Notamacropus eugenii: one gene and its partner. The protein of the gene in region 2 purifies or fractionates together with the protein of the main gene of each other region. This does not show direct contact. Links are inferred from orthologs where the notes say so. Each region holds a gene or a part of one and is shown on either strand. Other genes may lie near its edges.

Region 1 (8,096 bases), on a different chromosome or scaffold from region 2:
GATGGTCCCAATCTTACCATTCATTTCCTGTGATTTGCTTATCCCTAATTGGAATGTGTATATATACATATACACACATATACATATGTATGCATAGATGTACATCTTTTAGCACAGGAAGAAGATGCTGTGGAATCACCACTTCAGAATAACCGATACAATGAGCATTTCAAAAAGGACAAATTTCAGATCCTCAGACTTTAGTGTGAGCCCTCAAAGGTTGGCTATTTCTTTGACAGTTTTCTGCCTATCCAAATCACATTGATATGCTGAGTTGGGGTAGAAATCATACTGGCATTTCTGGTTCTGCCTGTTGCTTGATAGTTCAAAACTACTGCCAGGGCATCATTTCTTGTAATATTTTGACACTTTTGCAGCTGCAGACACTCATTAGAATGAATTCCCCTCCCCCTGTCTAAAAAAGAAGTGTCTTTTAATCAAAGGTCTAGAAAGATACAATTGGATTTCTGAGAATAGACAGGAAAAAGGAATTTTTAACAAGAAGAGGGCTGATTGAGAAGACAGAGTGGGGATCAGGGGCTTTGGGCTGTGTCTACCTCATAGCAGCTAGTTGAGTTAAAAGAAGGAATTCACTAGTGTATCTGAATGCTGACCTGGGACAAAGGGAACACTTTTATTTCTAAATACTTGCTTTTGCTGCAGTGAAAAAGGCCTCTTTAGTACCTGTCTCTGGATTACTTCCAGGTCATTATTCTGCATTATCTTTTATATCATCAATAAACACTTCAGTGTTGACAAAGGAAGGTGACCTAAAATTTTGTTATGTCATGTACTACCATTTGTTTAGCCATTCCCCAACTGATGGGCGTCACTTTTTTCCAACTCTTTGCTACTACAAAAAATGTTATAAATATCTTGGCAAATGTAGGAACTTTTTTTTATATTTTTTATTTCTTTGGGGTATCTACTTAGCAGTGGGATCTTTGGATCAGAGTTTGGTCATATTAATCATTTCTTCGCATAATTCCAAATGATTTTCCAGAATGGTTATACCAATTCATAGCTCCATTAAATGTGTCAACGTCCCTGTCTTGCCTCAATCCCTCAAAGCAACTGGTCATTCTATCCAAGTCACTTTCACTTTGTTTGGAGAAAACAGCTGCATTTGTTTTTATATAGCTGTCATTACTGGATATACCCCCACCCCACTGCCAACTGAACCCTTACTTGCAATGAAGGAAAAGAGTTAAGTCCAAACAACTAATACAGTGAGCATGCCTGAAAAGACATTTTGAGCTCATATATTCCCACCTCTCTGTCAAGAGGAGGAAAGTATGTCTCATTATCTGTTCTCTTGGATGATTATTAACTTCTGCTTTAATAGAAATTAGTTTTCTTTGTTGAAAAAGGTAAGTAAAGATACTTTTCCTCGAACTTATCCACAAGTAGAAATATTGAGACAAAGTTCTATAGTCTCTTCTGCTTCTAAAAATTCAGTTAAATTCAACTTGTATTTATTAAGTGCCTCGAATATTTTATGTACTGTGCTAGACCCTGAAGATACACAGAAAAAAATGAAAATAATTCCTTCCCTCAGGGAACTTACATTCTTCTAGTGTCCCTAAACATACGAAAGACTAATGGTAGGCAAGTAGTTAGTAGATATACTAGAGATCTCTTTCCCTAAGATTAGCTTTATTTATAATTTGCCATTAATATTAAAAGTAGATATATATACTCTGAAGGTACTTATGGAATGAAAATCTAATTTTTGGAGAGAAAGAGAAAGAGAGAGAGAGAGAGATGGAAAAGCCAAGACAAACCAACCCACCACTGAGTAAATAGGAATACACTTTGAATTAAACCTACTTGTTTGTGTGACACAAAATAATTTTAAAGTGGAAAACACTACAACTCCATTAGAAGAATGCTTTCTTCTCCAGCTCAAAGTAGTTTCTAGTCTGCAAGGAAGAATGCATTTAGAGCAGTTCCCCAGAATAGAGAAGAGCTGTTAAAGCTTCTTTAAGCCAACTCAAACATTTTTAAAAGGACAAGGGGGGTGGGGGTGGGGGGGATGGTGAGAAAGCCATTGTTGATCATTCCCTGTTATATTCAGGAGTCTTCCCACATCCGCTGTCTGTAGCTCTCTGCTGGGCAAGAAGAAAACTGGACATAGGCCAGCCCATTATGCATTTACTTCTCTTGACCCTTGTGCTTGCGAAGTTTGGGATTGTCTTTCTGGAGAGGGATGTAGTCAGTCCCATAATCTACTCAATAGGTTCTCTCATAAATACCACCCTTTTGTGACTTTGGACACTTTACTTTGGACACAACTAGAAAACACATCATGACAGTCATAGCATCATAGGGACCAGCAACCATAAAAAAAATCTCTGCTCAGGCTCACCCCCAAATACATACTGTTAAATTGAGTTATATTTCAAGCTTAATCATTGCTTCCTGGCTTTTTGCTTTCAGTTAGTTCAACTTAGAAAGAAACACCAGGAAGACACCTACAATCATAAAAGCTGGCAAGTTCATGATGCAAACGGTGAAAATCCTTCTTAAATAGTTAGTATCTGAAGGCTTAGTGAGAAATAGTAGCAAGTCTCAGAGGGTGCCTTCCTGGCTGTTGTAATCCAGGAAGGTCTTCCTTCTGCAGCTGTCCTCCTTTTTTCCCTTATATTTTGATTTATTTTCTTGCTGTAACTACTTTACACACACACACACACACACACACACACACACACACACACACACACACACACACACACACACACACACACACACACACACACACACACACACACACACACACACACACACCCCTACCTGGATCATGATGACCTCTTCATCTGCTCTCAGGATGGGCTGGTCCAAAGGTACGGTACATAACTCATCCTCCAGGCAGGCCAGACTCACCGAACAGCCCATCAGAGCCCTCCAATCTCAGAGCAGCCTCAATCTGCTTGTGGTCTCTCCCCTCCAACTCAGGACACCAGAGTCTGAGCCCTCATCTCTGCCTTCTCCTGGCTGAACTCCTCCCAGGGCAGCTCTCCTAGCCTTCAGCCCCACTCAGCACACAGTTGCTCCAACCTGCCAGCCTCTCGTGACAGGCAGCATGGAAATACAAGCCTCAGCCTGCCAATGCTTAACCTTTAGGTTCCAGTTCCGTCTGGGCAGGTTGAAGCCCTTTGGAGCTGATGCTGTTTCTACCGATCTGTCAGCCTAGCCCCCCCCCCCCCCCCCCTCCTCTCCCTCTCCTAACCCTTTGTTATCAGAATCCCATGCTGACCACACTGTGCCCCCTCAAAGACTGAGACAACGCATAAGAAGGCCACTGTCTAAAGTCTCAGCTCCAGCTAGGGGGAAACTTAGCCTTTCCTCTCCTGGTGGGAGGGTTTGGGGATCACTGAATGGTATGGATACAATAATAAGGAAACTAATAATTTGGACGGCACTCTTTGGAGTAGGGTGGGGAGGGAGGGAGGGAGGCGGAGGCTGGGCTGCCTTTGCAGAAAGGACGAAAGAGCTATCCAGCAATCTGTCACTGAGGCACACTGATAATGCCCGCCTAATTCGAGAGCAAATAATGACTATTTGAAGCCAACTCAATCAGGATGACTTTGAAAGCCGAATTTCAGGAGTGGAAAGCATTTTGGAGGAATTTCCTGTTTCTTTGTGCTGTCATTCTGTGCCTGTAATCCCCCTTTGATTTTCATCCCCCCTCCTTCCACATAACTTAGCTTTCAGAGCTGCAAAATGATGCTGGAGACTAATGACTGTTTCAAAGGCATTATGGGGGACTGTTCATATTACAGCAGCTCCAGCTAGCAGCCAGTACCAGCCGACTTGAAGAGCCTGTTAGTTTTAGCTGTTCAAAATCCCTTCTTTGAAATCATTTGGGGGAAAAATTGGCTTTAAGCCGAACATTAGTGTTTAAGGTTTCAACTCTGCACAATTAATTTTCTGGGGAGAAGTGATGGGGACAGGGGAAGGGGGTTGGAATATACTTTTGAAAAAAAAAAAACCTTTCTAAGACAGTTGATACTTAATTATGCCTTCAGAAGTAAAAAAAAAATGCTTTTATCTTTGCACTTGGAGATTTGTAAGGTGACTAAATCATTAGTTAGACACATATTATGGAGCAAAACTTGTCACTTCCCTTAAGTGACATGAGCTAACTCTCTTCCCTCCTTGCCAAAAAGGGTTCAGAGACAGTGAGGGGTTTGAGTGGTCCTGCCACAAAACAGCGTGGTTTGGGTATTTGTTTTGTCTTTGGAAAAAGAAAACTCTTTGCCACCTGTATTCACAGCTTCCTCCTACTGCTAGAATTCCCTCCTTGGGGCTCCTTGCTTGACTGTGAGTGAACCACACAATTGTAAACGACCCTGCAGCTGGTTTAGGGATGATTTATACAGTGAAAGCAAAGCGGGCGCCCAACAAAGCAAGCAGCCCTGGTTACTTTAGCCTCAATGCTCCATTTACAGACATGGAAATCTCACAGAAGTTTTACTGCCAGGTCAGGCACTGCTGGAAGGAGGGCAAAGTCAGAGAGGCTGATTTGAAAAATGGTCCTAAGCCCGCGTTTTTAAAGTGTGAAGTTGGGAGAAATTAATGAAAACTTCTACACTCGAGTTTATTTACCATCCCTAATCTCCTCCATATAAGAAATGCACATATGCCATATGAATTTAGAAAAGCAAACAGCTCAGTAGAAAAGGACCAACTTTACATATTACAGTATGTTTTTATTGTTTATTTCAGTTTAGATAGGACAAAATAGACTTATTTTTTAAAAAAGAAAAATTAATGTCCCCAGTTAATCTTGTTCTATCTTTTTTAAAGAAAAGAAACTTCAGGTTTCTGCAGAAAATTAAAGGACCATATGAGATTTTTTTTTTACTATATATTTGATATCCCTGTTTCAAGACATAAGTCAAATTCCTCAGGATGGATGGTGAGGTTTCATGAAATGGAAATCTCACTGGCTCCTGACCACTCATTGAGAGGGCTCTACCCCTTTGGCAAACAATATGAATGAATTACACTTAGGTAGTAAACTGCTTATCCATGAGATGTGAATGAACTTGTTCAGGGCATCAGGGTATAATTTAGTAAATAACTTTTTCCTACTGCTCTAACAGCCAACAGTTTGCCCATTAATCCATCTAAGCTAGTGCACTTCACTACCAGAATACCTTAATCAGCTTTATTTTCTCTCCTCTAGAAAGGATCAAGTCAAATGGTAGTGGTGACGTCTTATACAAGATACCAGGTCTAGCATTCCAATGGGCTTACATTTTTAAGGGGAAAATGTATAACATCAAAAGGCTGCTCTTCTGAAATGATTTCCGGGTATACTGGACACTCAAACACTTTAAAGGATCTATGATGTTGTCAAGTTGGACATTCCTGCTAGTGGTGCAGGTAGCAAGCCATCCTTGTCTGTCCAGCCTGTTCCACTCTTGTCTATGTCTTGATAGGTGTCATCTATTTAAAGGAAACTGTTGAGCACATTCCACTCTGCTTCATAATTGGTCAGATAATCAGATCACCAACTAACTCTCATTTTCCATATCTGGGTCCACTTCCCAACTTAAATGGGGTCCTTCTCAGCATACAGAATGTTAGAAAAATCTAATGTATTATCCAATGACCTCCATAAGTGTGGTGAGAGTCTTCCTTGCTTTCCCTTGACTTTGTAATACCAATGGGGTTCATGGGCAGGCATATGGTTAGCCCTCACTTTTTGGCAATTGAAAAGTTCATCTTTTTTTCTCCTACATTTCTTGGACAATGTCCTTTCCTCTGCCTCTGCTTTGTAATTTCTTGTCTGGAACATGCTGTGATTTGTTCATTCTCTATTGTCTTTGGGTAATTCTCCATTTCAGTTCTTCAGAGACTGTAGGTTCTGTGATTCAAAACCATAGAAAGACACTGGAAGAATTATGACATTAAAACCGAGTTTTTGATTCAAGGGAGAAACTTGGGGTGGTTAAAAGGACTTGGATTGTCATCACCTTTTTTTTTTTTTTTCCTGAGAAGCTTCAGTGAAATGGAGTGAGAAAGAACTGTAGACTTTTGGAGATTGAAGAGTCCAGTACTGGCTTCACCTTTAGCTAGTTAGCTCTGTTACCCCAGGTTAAGACTCACTCTTTCTGGGCCTTTAGTTTCCCCACTGGGGAAACTGAGACATTGGTAAACTGAGGGGGATGGACTAGACTAGTTCAAACATCCTTTCTAGTATTAAAATTCTATGTTTTCTCACACATATGTAACTATATAACTATGCATATGAGAATATATAGCATATATGCACATTGGTGTGTACACATGTGGGTGCATAGTTGTTTACAAAGTATATTTCTCACAACAGTCCCATGAGATGGATAGTTCATGTATTAGTAGACCACAAGAAGGATTCATATTTTCTACAGTAGTAGTGTCAAATTTAAAAAGAAACTGGACCACTAAACCATGCATAAGGATCCTTAAGGGATGCATATTAACTTAGTTTTAAAATACAATATTATCTGTATTTTATTATATTTTTATCTATTTTGCTATGTATTTGCTTATTATATTTTTATCAGGTTTGGGTTACACTGGGAGCAGCATACCAACTGAGAAGGCTGCCTGCTTGACATTTCCATCCTATAGTGTGGGACCCCTCCCCTCAGTAGTTTATGATGTATCATAGTCCTTAGCAATGTGAGAAGTCCTAGGGAGATGTTTGAGATAAAAAGAGATTAAGTGGGCTGCCTTTGATCATATAGCTAAAAAGTGTCAGAGATGGATTTGGCACTCAGGTCTTCCTGACTCTAAATCTAGTCAGTCAGTCAGATTGTCAATCAGCAAACATTCATTAAGGACTTGTTATGTACCAGACACTGAGATAGGTGCTGGGAGTACAAAAGAAGACAAAAACATGGTCCCTGTCTTCAATGAGTCCAAATCCTGATAGATGAGACAGTAAGGAAACCACTGTGTAAAAACAAGATTTTGACTGGATAAATTGGAGATCATCTCCAAGAAAAAGTAGGGAGTGGGAGGAAAGAAGGGGAATAGGAAAGGCTTCCTGCAGAAGGAAGGGTTTGAGCTGAGTTTTGATGAGAACCAGGGAAGAAGGAGGTAAAGAGGGAGAACATTCCAAGCATGAGGGAGACAGGAATGAAGATAGGAACACTGTTTGAGCAGTAGTCAGGGTAGCTCTTGTTCAAATCTACCTCTACTGTGCAAAAAGGATGATTCCTATTTTATAGATGGGGATACCGAAGTTAAAAGTGGTTTGCTAACTTGCCCAAGGTCACACAGGTATTAAGTGGATTCAAACCTATATCTTCCTACTTCTGGTTCATAGCTCCACTATGCCAAAGTTGCCCTTCTCTGAATGACATGAATCATTTAGAAAGTGACCTATTTGCCACCATGAGCTTAAGAAAGTCAAGGATCTGAAATCCATATATATGGAGTGTTTGTGTGGCTCCTTAGGTTGATGTGGACTGTCCAGGTTTCTGATATCCTCCTCTAACTGAGGGATGATCTTCAACAATTTGTTAAAGCCCAAAGACCACTTTCTACCTTTGTTCAGTGTGATTAAGAACTAGGATTTTTCCAAATAAGAAGAAGGGAGCCCTTTCCCCAACAGTCAATACAAATTGTAGTCTTTTTCAGTCACCAATGCATATGAGATACCATCTTACTAAGGTTATATATTTAAAATAAGCTGGAGGAAAGAAACTATTTCTTATTGAACAATATGTGTAAGTTTGTGTTGTTTTGAGCTCTTCTTGTTACATAATTATTTTCTAAGCCTTTACTTTCATACTTGGAAGACTATTTCATTTGCACTACTCAAGTTTCTTTCCCCTCTTAGGATGAATGGAAAACAAATTACTTTAATCCTTGTTACCATCTCACCTTACACTCCACCTCCAACTCCTAAAGATGCACCCTCCAACATCTCAGCCCAAGGCCCCCAAGAAGCGAAAGACAATGAAATAGGACTGTTCGTGCAAATAAAACAAAATTCTAGACTTAAAAAACAGACCCAAAAGCTAAGAGTTTACACATTGATGAAATTACTTGAGTGTATCTGAATTGAGGACAAATAGATTCTTGGAGGGACCAGA
Region 2 (8,070 bases):
GAGGAGAGTCATACGGAATACTCACAAGAACTGGGAGTGAGGGATTTAAATGACTTTGAGCTTGGATACTGGACTCTCCCCAACTCTCCTTTGAGGGAGAAAGTGTGGCTGGAACCAGCTCGTGGGAATCAGCCTCCAAGGAAGGCAAAGGCTGACCCTTGGCTCTGTGCTAAAGGAACCGAGTCTGGACACCTCTAAACTATGCCTCAATAATGTTTCTTCTTCCTGCGACACACACCAGAGATGAGGTCAAAAAGCTTTTAAGAGATAGGTGCCCCACATCCCTTTCCCCCCCACTACCCCAATTCTCTCCTTAGAGACAGTTTCCTTGCCAAGGAAATTTCCAAGTGTTTCTCTGACTCTGCTATCAGACCCTGGAATTCAGGTACTCTGAGGTGGTCATGGCAATGGTACAAGGCAGTATGCCTCTGGGGGTAGAAGCCACCTTAGTGACCAATCAGGCATAAAGATGACATTCAGCTAGAAAGTTAGGATCTCCCCCCGTTCCCTGCCAAGTTTCCTGGCTCCCCTTACCATCCCAAATCAAAGAGAAAGGAGGAAGATGAAATGTGGGGCTTCTGAACATATGAGTCCCTAGTTAGCCACATCACCCTTCCTGTTCTGCTAGTTACCTTCTGTATCCCTGAACATGAAGAATTCTTACCCAGCACAACCAGGTCTATGGGTAACTCATATGGGCAAAGCTCTCTCCAAGGAAAGCCAAGGACACCAAGTTACCTCAGTAGTTACCACCTCCCTCCAAAAAAAAAAAAAAATCAAAAGCTCTAATCACTCCCCACTCCACACATTAAATTTTAATCATAGCTGACAGGATGGTTGCTTTGAAGATAGAAAGACAAGGTCTGAGTCCCCAAAGCAGCTGAGACTTCAGAGCCCAGGACCCCAATAAGAGGAAGCAAGCCTGGGGGAGGGATGCCCCAGGGCCAGTACCCCACTCTGAGCCATAAACCTGCCAGCTGGGTACTTTCTCCAAACCTCTCTTCTCCAGATGCCTAGATCTGCAGCCCAGCTGAGCACATGTTAAGCCTCTCAGGGCCTGGCTCAGTCTGTCTTGGCTACCGCCTGCTCAAGGAACAGTTTTGGTTTCTATTAGTTGCTCCACCTCTCCCAGTGTCAGGAAGTAATTTAATGTGTGACTATGGCCGAGTCACTTCTGGGCCTCGGTTTCCTCATCTGTAAAATGAGGAACAAGGACTAGACTACCTCTAAATAAACTTGTTTCCAGTTTTAAATTCTATGACCCTAACTTTGGGCAAACCCCTTTTCTTTTCCATGCCTCACTTTGCCCCAAAGTAAAATAAAAGAGATTGGTCTAAATGTTCTCTAGGTTCCTTTTGCCTTAATTCGATGACTCCAATCCTGGATGTCTAACACAGGCCTAGGTGTCCAGGCAGAGTGGGGCGGGGAAGGGGAAAGATGCAATTCACATGTGCAAGACCAGCTCCCTCTAGGTGGTACAGGGGGCTTTGTTTCCAAGGCTGCTCTCCCTGGCTACCCAAGGATGCAATCTGGGGATGGCGGGCTAGAAGGAGCAGTCCCATCCAGAGAGGGTATTTCAACCTCTTCAGTGGGAGTCAAATCGAGGAAACTAATCCTCCGAAATCCTGTCCTGGGTACAAGTAGCCCAAAGTCGGGTGTCTGAGCCTGAGTCCTAAAGCATGGGTTGGGGAACCAGGAGCATTGTGCACAGGCCGGCGTGAGCAGCCCTGTTGTCAGGCTTCAGGCTCCGTCAGCAGGTTGCACGGTTACAGCGTAGAGGGTGGGAATGGGGGTGGGGTGGGGGGGAGAATGGAAGGGGAGGAGAAGATAGAGCTTGGGGCAGTGCTGGCAAACCCCCAGAGACAATGAAATGGCTTCTCTTTCCACACACCCCCACCTTGGTCCAGTCTGACCCCACCCCATGTTGGAAGCTTAATTCCTCCTCCATCAGCCACATGCCCGTCCTGCACAGTCCCACTAAGGGAAGGCTGGCATTATCCTGGGTCCCCGCCCCATCCTTGCCCCTCCAAAGCCGGGACTGAGGCTCCGAGCTCTTGGGTGGAGGAAGATAAAGGGCTGGCGAGGATTTAGTCAGAACCTCTTAAGGAGTGGAGTTTTTTCCAGTCCCCCACGCAGACCCCACTCGAACCCCCCGGTAGGCCCCGGGGCGGTGAGGACCCACCAACTTGGCACTGGGCTCGCCTGCCCCACGGGCCCGGGACCCATCTCGGAGGACGGCTTATTGCCCGGGTCTACACCGTGACAGCAACTCCCGGGAGAATTCAAACCCGTCGGAGCTCGGGTGGGGGAGGGGAGCGGCCGCGGGGAGGGCGGGAGCCGGCCAAGGACCAGTAGGTTCCGGGGCTGGCGATCTCCACCCAGCTCGGGCCGCCGCGGCCAGGGCCCCGAACGCCGGGCACTCACTCACCTCTCTCCGAGCGCTGCGGTCCGATCCACTTAGCCGCCGGCGACATCAGTGGGCTGCGGGACAGTCCATGTGGCCGGGGGCTGGGTGGAGGCGGGGGGCGGGGGGGCGCCCTGGTGGGAGGGGTCCAAAGGAGCGGGGGGAGGGGGGAGGAGAGAAGGAGCGGGAAGAGGGCAGCGAGAGGCTGGGCCGGGGAGCACCGCTCGGCCCGGGTCGGGGAGGGAGGAGGAAACAATGTAGCCGCCGCGGCCCCGGGAGAGTTCCGCTTCCGAACGCCGCCGCCGAGCCTTGAGGTGGGGACGTAGCGCGGGCCGCCTGGGCAGCCCAGACACGCGACGTTTGGCTCTGGAGCGGGGCGGGCCCCGGCGTCCCAGCCCCCCCGGCACCGGCGGCCCGGGCTGGAAGCGGGCTGGACGGAGGAACGGACCCGACGGCTCCCGGCCGGACTGGAGGCCGGCGGCGGCTGCCCCCACCCCGGGAGCGCGGCGGGAGGGGCGGGGCGGGGCGGGGCGGGGAGGGGGGGGAAGACTGGCGGCGCGCGCGCGCGTCCTCTGCTGCGGGGGCCGCCCCCTCCCCAGGCCCTCTCCGGCTCAGCTGGAAGGAAGCTCGCAGGCCTGGCCGGAGGAAGCGGAGCCTGGATCCATCCGCCTGTAGCAGCGCGCCTGCGCCAAATGGGCTGGACCCGCTCGCGGACCGGGCGCGAGCGGGGAGGCTGCGCCACCTACTGGAGGCCACGGGCATCGCATGGGGGTGTGTCCAGGTCCCCGCGTCCCGAGCCTCACATCTTGGCCGCCGACCCAATGGCAGCCGGACGCCTGAAGTCGGGGGTCGCTCATCCCGGCAGGTGGGCGCGGAGTTGGAAGCCCGAGACAGTGACCCGCTCGCCGCCCTTCGCCTGCAAAGTGGTGAGTGGGCACCGGTGGGCGCAGTCCAGACGGCTCCCTCAGAACTCCGGGCCGGCCGGGGGCAGGGCGGGGAGCTCTTCGTCACTTTGTGATCAGTGCGAGCGCACGGCCTGACGGCACCCCGGGACAGGACTGGAATAGCCCGAGGATCAAGGTCTAGAGGTCAAGTGTACATGGTCAGAGCCCTTACTGGTGTAACCGAGTGTGTGTGTGTGTGTGTGTGTGTGTGTGTGTGTGTGTGTGTGTGTGTGAGTGTGTGTGCACGCGCGTGCTCTGTGTGTGTGTGTGTGTGTCTGTGTGTGTGTGCGTGCGCTGTGAGTGTGTGTGTGTGCTGTGTATGTGAGTGTGAGTGTGTGCGTGCTGTGTGTGTGAGAGTGAGTTCGAGTGTGTGTGTGTCTGCTGTGTGCCAGTACCGTGCTAAGCCTGGCAGGGTAAAGGAAGGTAGAAGACAGCTCCTTCTTTCAAGGGACTCACAGGCTTCACTGCCAAACTAAGCGGTCTGTGGTGGGTGGTCCGGTGGAAGGGACACTAGCTTTGTGCCCAAACCAGGAGCAATGAGGAGTTGTTAGAAAGAAGAGAAGCTTCTCCCCAACGATTAGAGCAATTAAGAAGCAAAATGGGCAGCCTTGGGGAGAGGGCAGTTGATTTCCCCTCACTGGGGTGTCTTCAAGCAGAGGCTGGCTGACCATTTGTCCAGTATGTCCTAGAAAAGATTCTCCTTCAGGGGTGAATTTCTCTAGATGACTCCCAAACCTCCACACCCTAAGATTCTCTGGTTCACTTGGGGGAAAGGAGATTCACACACTTGTAACAGACTAGACAGGATAAGTTGGCCATAATCATGGAAGGGATTGTGCAAAGATTGAGGATCCTTAAGAGAGGCTTCTTGCTGAAGGTAGGACTTTAGTTGAGACTTGAAGGAAGCCAGGGGTAGCCACAAAGAACTAGATACCCTGGATCCCTAGAAAGGTCAGAGTGAACAGGAATGGTACAATATGTTTGGAGGAGGATTTATTTACACCCAGTGTAAATAAACTTAAGGGTTCTTGGAGGGATGGGTTCCCTGGCCTTTAATAAGCTGTAGGGTCACCAGACTTTATGGAGAGAAAAGGGGTCTTCTCCTTTCTCCCCCATAGTCTGGAGGAAGGTAGCCCTACCATTTTCTCGACCCACAGTTTAAGAAATGCTGAAGGGGTCAAGAGTGGAAAAAGTTTAAGAAGCCCTGATCTAGAAGACTTTTTCCCTGCCTGCTCTTAAGAAGACATCTTGGGACAGCTAGGTGACCCAGTGGATAGAGCATTGGCCTTGGAGTCAGGAGGACTCAAACTTACCAGCTGTGTGACCCTGGCCAAGTCACTTAACCCCAATTGGCTCAAAAAAAGTTTTAAAATAATGACAGCTTAGAGACTCCAGGAGTCAAGATGGACATCAACCCTGCCCTTCAAACTGTTGTCATAGTAACCATCCTTTTATGTAGATTTGAGGAGTTACTCCCTTTTTCTAAAACCTTTGGCTCTTTGTCACCACAGTCTCCTGTTTCCATCCTACCTTTCTAGACTGATTTTCTCAATATTCTCTTTCACACATTCTCCTTTCTCAACAAACTGATGATTAGCTCTGATTTTGGTCCTGCTGTTTCCTGATTTAGTGCAGGCTAATTGGAACCTCCCTGCCTCTTTCTTCAAGGCTCAGCTCAGGGGCTTCCTCTGCCAGGAGGCCCTTCTGTATTTCCCCTCAACTAAAGGTGATCTCAAACTTCAGATTTTCCTAAAGCACTTGGTCTGAATTTTGCCTTGGTCCCACTCACTTTCTGTTGTTTTCTTTTGGCAGGGTCAGGGTAGGGAGGCAATTGGAGTTAAGTGACTTGCCCAGGGTCACACAGCTAATAAGTGTCAAGTGTCTGAGGCTGGATTTGAACTTGGGTCCTCCTGACTCAACTACCCACTGGGCCACTTAGCTGCCCTGTGCCATTCACATTCTGTCTTTGTGTTATTCTCCTTTACCTACCTGGTGCATTTCATAGATTACAAACTCTGAATTTGTTGGGATCATTTTTCATCTTTATTTTGCCAGCACTGAGCACAGTGCTTTGTACTAGTCAGTGAACAAGTCTTTATTAAGGGTACCCGATGTGCCTGGCACTGTGTTAGGGTGTTGGGGATAGAAAGACAAAGGATGAAACCATCCCTTCTTTCAAGTACCTTCCACATTCTAATTGGAGAGAAAACAAGTATGTGTTTATACATATACAAATCTGTATCTACCTGTATATATAGGATAAATATGAAGATAATCAATGAAAGCAAAGTTAAATAACCATAAAGGCCTTCAAAAACCCCAACAGCAATCCCAACAACAGGTAGTGAGTCTTCTGACATTTCCTTGGTATTCCCAGCAACATCCCAGAATAGGATCTACATCAGGGCTTCTTAGACTTTTCCCACAATCAACCCCTTCAGCATTTCTTAGTCTGTGGGATGAGAATTAGAACCAGGATAGAATCATAGAGCTACAGTTCCAAAGACCCTTAGAAGCACAACTCCTTTACTTACAGCTGGGGAAACTGAGGCTGGGAGATTATGACTTTCCTCAAATTACCCAGGTAGTAAGGAACAGAGCCACAACATTGTGCTGTACCCCACTGAGCCTCAGAGGTCTTTTAATCCTGCATTTTGGAGATGAGGAGTTCCCAAATGAATTGCTCAAGGTCAAGCAGCTCTCTAGTAACCTGGTTATCAGCAGTTGAACTGAAATTTCGATCTTTAAAGTAGAAGTGAAGCAGGAAACTGGACCCCAAGGAATCCTTGCATTTCCTCAGCAAAGGATTCTGAGTAACAGGAGGAAAGAATATTCACCAAAGCCACCTGTCTCCTGGATTCCTTACGGTGGGGTTAGCACTGAGGCCCTGGGATTGATGGGGGAAGACCTAGTCTGAGAGAGACTACCAACCGATATTGGGGGAGGGGAAGGGGAAAAGAAAGGGGTAGAGAGAGGGGGGAGAGGAAAGGAAAAGGGAGGGAGGGGGAGAGAAATGGAGGGAGAAGAGAAGAGTGAAACACTCTAAATACTAGGTGAAAGGAATAGATATGGAAGATGATAGACAAATGTCCTTCAAGAGTACTGAATTCTCATAGAAGAATTATAGCTAATGGTTTCTCCCATTAGCTATAATTCTTTTATGCAACATGACTAATGTGAAAATGTGTTTAATGGGAACGTATGTGTAGAGCCCATATATGATTGCATGCTGTCTTGGGGAGGGAGGGGGAGAAAAATTTTAAACTTATGGAAATGAATGTTGAAAACTGAAAACAAATAAATTAATAAATTTTGGGGGGAAAAAGAGTTCTGAATTCTCCCCTCTCCTGGGCTCCAAACAAAACTAGCCTTGGCCAATCCAGGGAGGGCCCAGCACTGTGCCTAGTTTATATTCCCTGGCTCACTGTCCCTGTCCCTCTTCCACAAAGTAGCCACTGGGCACCCGAGCTGATGCTAATTTGTCAGAAAATAATAATGAGTCAGAGCAGAGTTAGAGGACGGTTTTCAACACTGTGTGACCCTGGGTGAGTCACTTTAACCTTTCTGTGGCTCAGTTTCCCTTTCTGGAAATTGAAGGTAATGCTGCTGCTTTCCTCATGGTGTTGCTATAAAGGAAGTACCATATAAATGTTGGCTATATGAATGTGAACTATTTCTTATCCTCCTGCCTTGTTATAATGGCAGTGCCTTTTCCATCTCTTTTTCGTTTTTTCATTTTCTGTTTGGGGGCTCGTTCATTCTTGACATTTGTCTCCCCAGGGCCAAGCACATGGGAAGTCCTTAATAAAGCCTTGCTGACTGATTTCAGATGTACATGGTGTGTCACACTTTATTTTTCTATTTTTTATTGAAAACTTTTAATGAACAAAAATCCACTCCTCCCTGACAGAAAACAAAGGCAAAACTTTTGTCACAGATGTGCGTAATCAAGCAAAAGAAATTCCTACTTTGTCCAAAAAATAGATGTTGCCATTTGCGACCAGAATCCATTCCCCACTCCCATGCCCTCCAAAGGTGGTAGCTTGGTTGGTCTCCTGAAACGTGGTCGATCGTTGTGGTGTTCACAGTTTTTAGGGCTTTCATGGTTGTCGCTCACTCTGTGTCTCAGTTCATACAGGTCTTTTTTGTACTTTCCAGATTTATTAAGTGCCTACTAATCACCAGGCACCATGCTAAGCACTGGAGAGACAAAGAAAGGTAAAAGACAGTGTCTGCTCTCAAGGACAAATTGGATATTATCGACAGGGAAGGCCCTGGATTAAAGGGAGAGGAGAAGTCTGAAAAGTCTTCCTGTGGAAAGTGGGATTTTTATCTGGTACTTAAAAGAAGCTAGGAGACATAGATTGTTGGGAGATGGAATGTCTTGTTCTGGACCAAAAAGGAGGCCACTGTCACTGGATCTCAGAGAGAGAGAGAGAAAGGGACAGAGAGAGAGAGGAGGAGAGAGAGAGAGAGAGAGAGAGACAAAGGGAGAGAATGAATATGTGTGTGAGTGTGAGAGAGAGAGAGAGAAAAGGAGAGAATGAATATGAGTGTGTGTGTGTGTGTGTGTGTGTGTGTGTGTGTGTGTGTGTGTGTGTGTGTGTGTTGACAAAAAGGTATTGCAGGGGTTGGGGAGAGGGCTGGTGAATTTTATATTTAATCCTCAAGGTGATAGGGAGCCAGTGGAGTTTCTTGAGTGAGGAGTGGTGGTGGTGACTT

The links. The genes of interacting proteins can lie anywhere in the genome.
Region 1: the proteins of CSK (region 2) and TNS3 purify together in Homo sapiens (affinity purification with mass spectrometry; 4 studies listed by BioGRID and IntAct, with this or other methods). This does not show direct contact. The link is inferred for Notamacropus eugenii from reciprocal best matches to the Homo sapiens genes CSK and TNS3.

What each region holds. Positions count from the first base shown.
Region 1 is NC_092874.1:409,896,675-409,904,770, forward strand, and holds the start of TNS3 (tensin-3), read right to left. Parts: upstream 3,096-8,096; 5' UTR 2,896-3,095; coding exon 2,794-2,895; intron 1-2,793. UniProt on the Homo sapiens protein: May act as a protein phosphatase and/or a lipid phosphatase. Involved in the dissociation of the integrin-tensin-actin complex. EGF activates TNS4 and down-regulates TNS3 which results in capping the tail of ITGB1.
Region 2 is NC_092872.1:241,312,079-241,320,148, forward strand, and holds the start of CSK (tyrosine-protein kinase CSK), read right to left. Parts: upstream 3,018-8,070; 5' UTR 2,429-3,017; intron 226-2,428; 5' UTR 26-225; intron 1-25. UniProt on the Homo sapiens protein: Non-receptor tyrosine-protein kinase that plays an important role in the regulation of cell growth, differentiation, migration and immune response.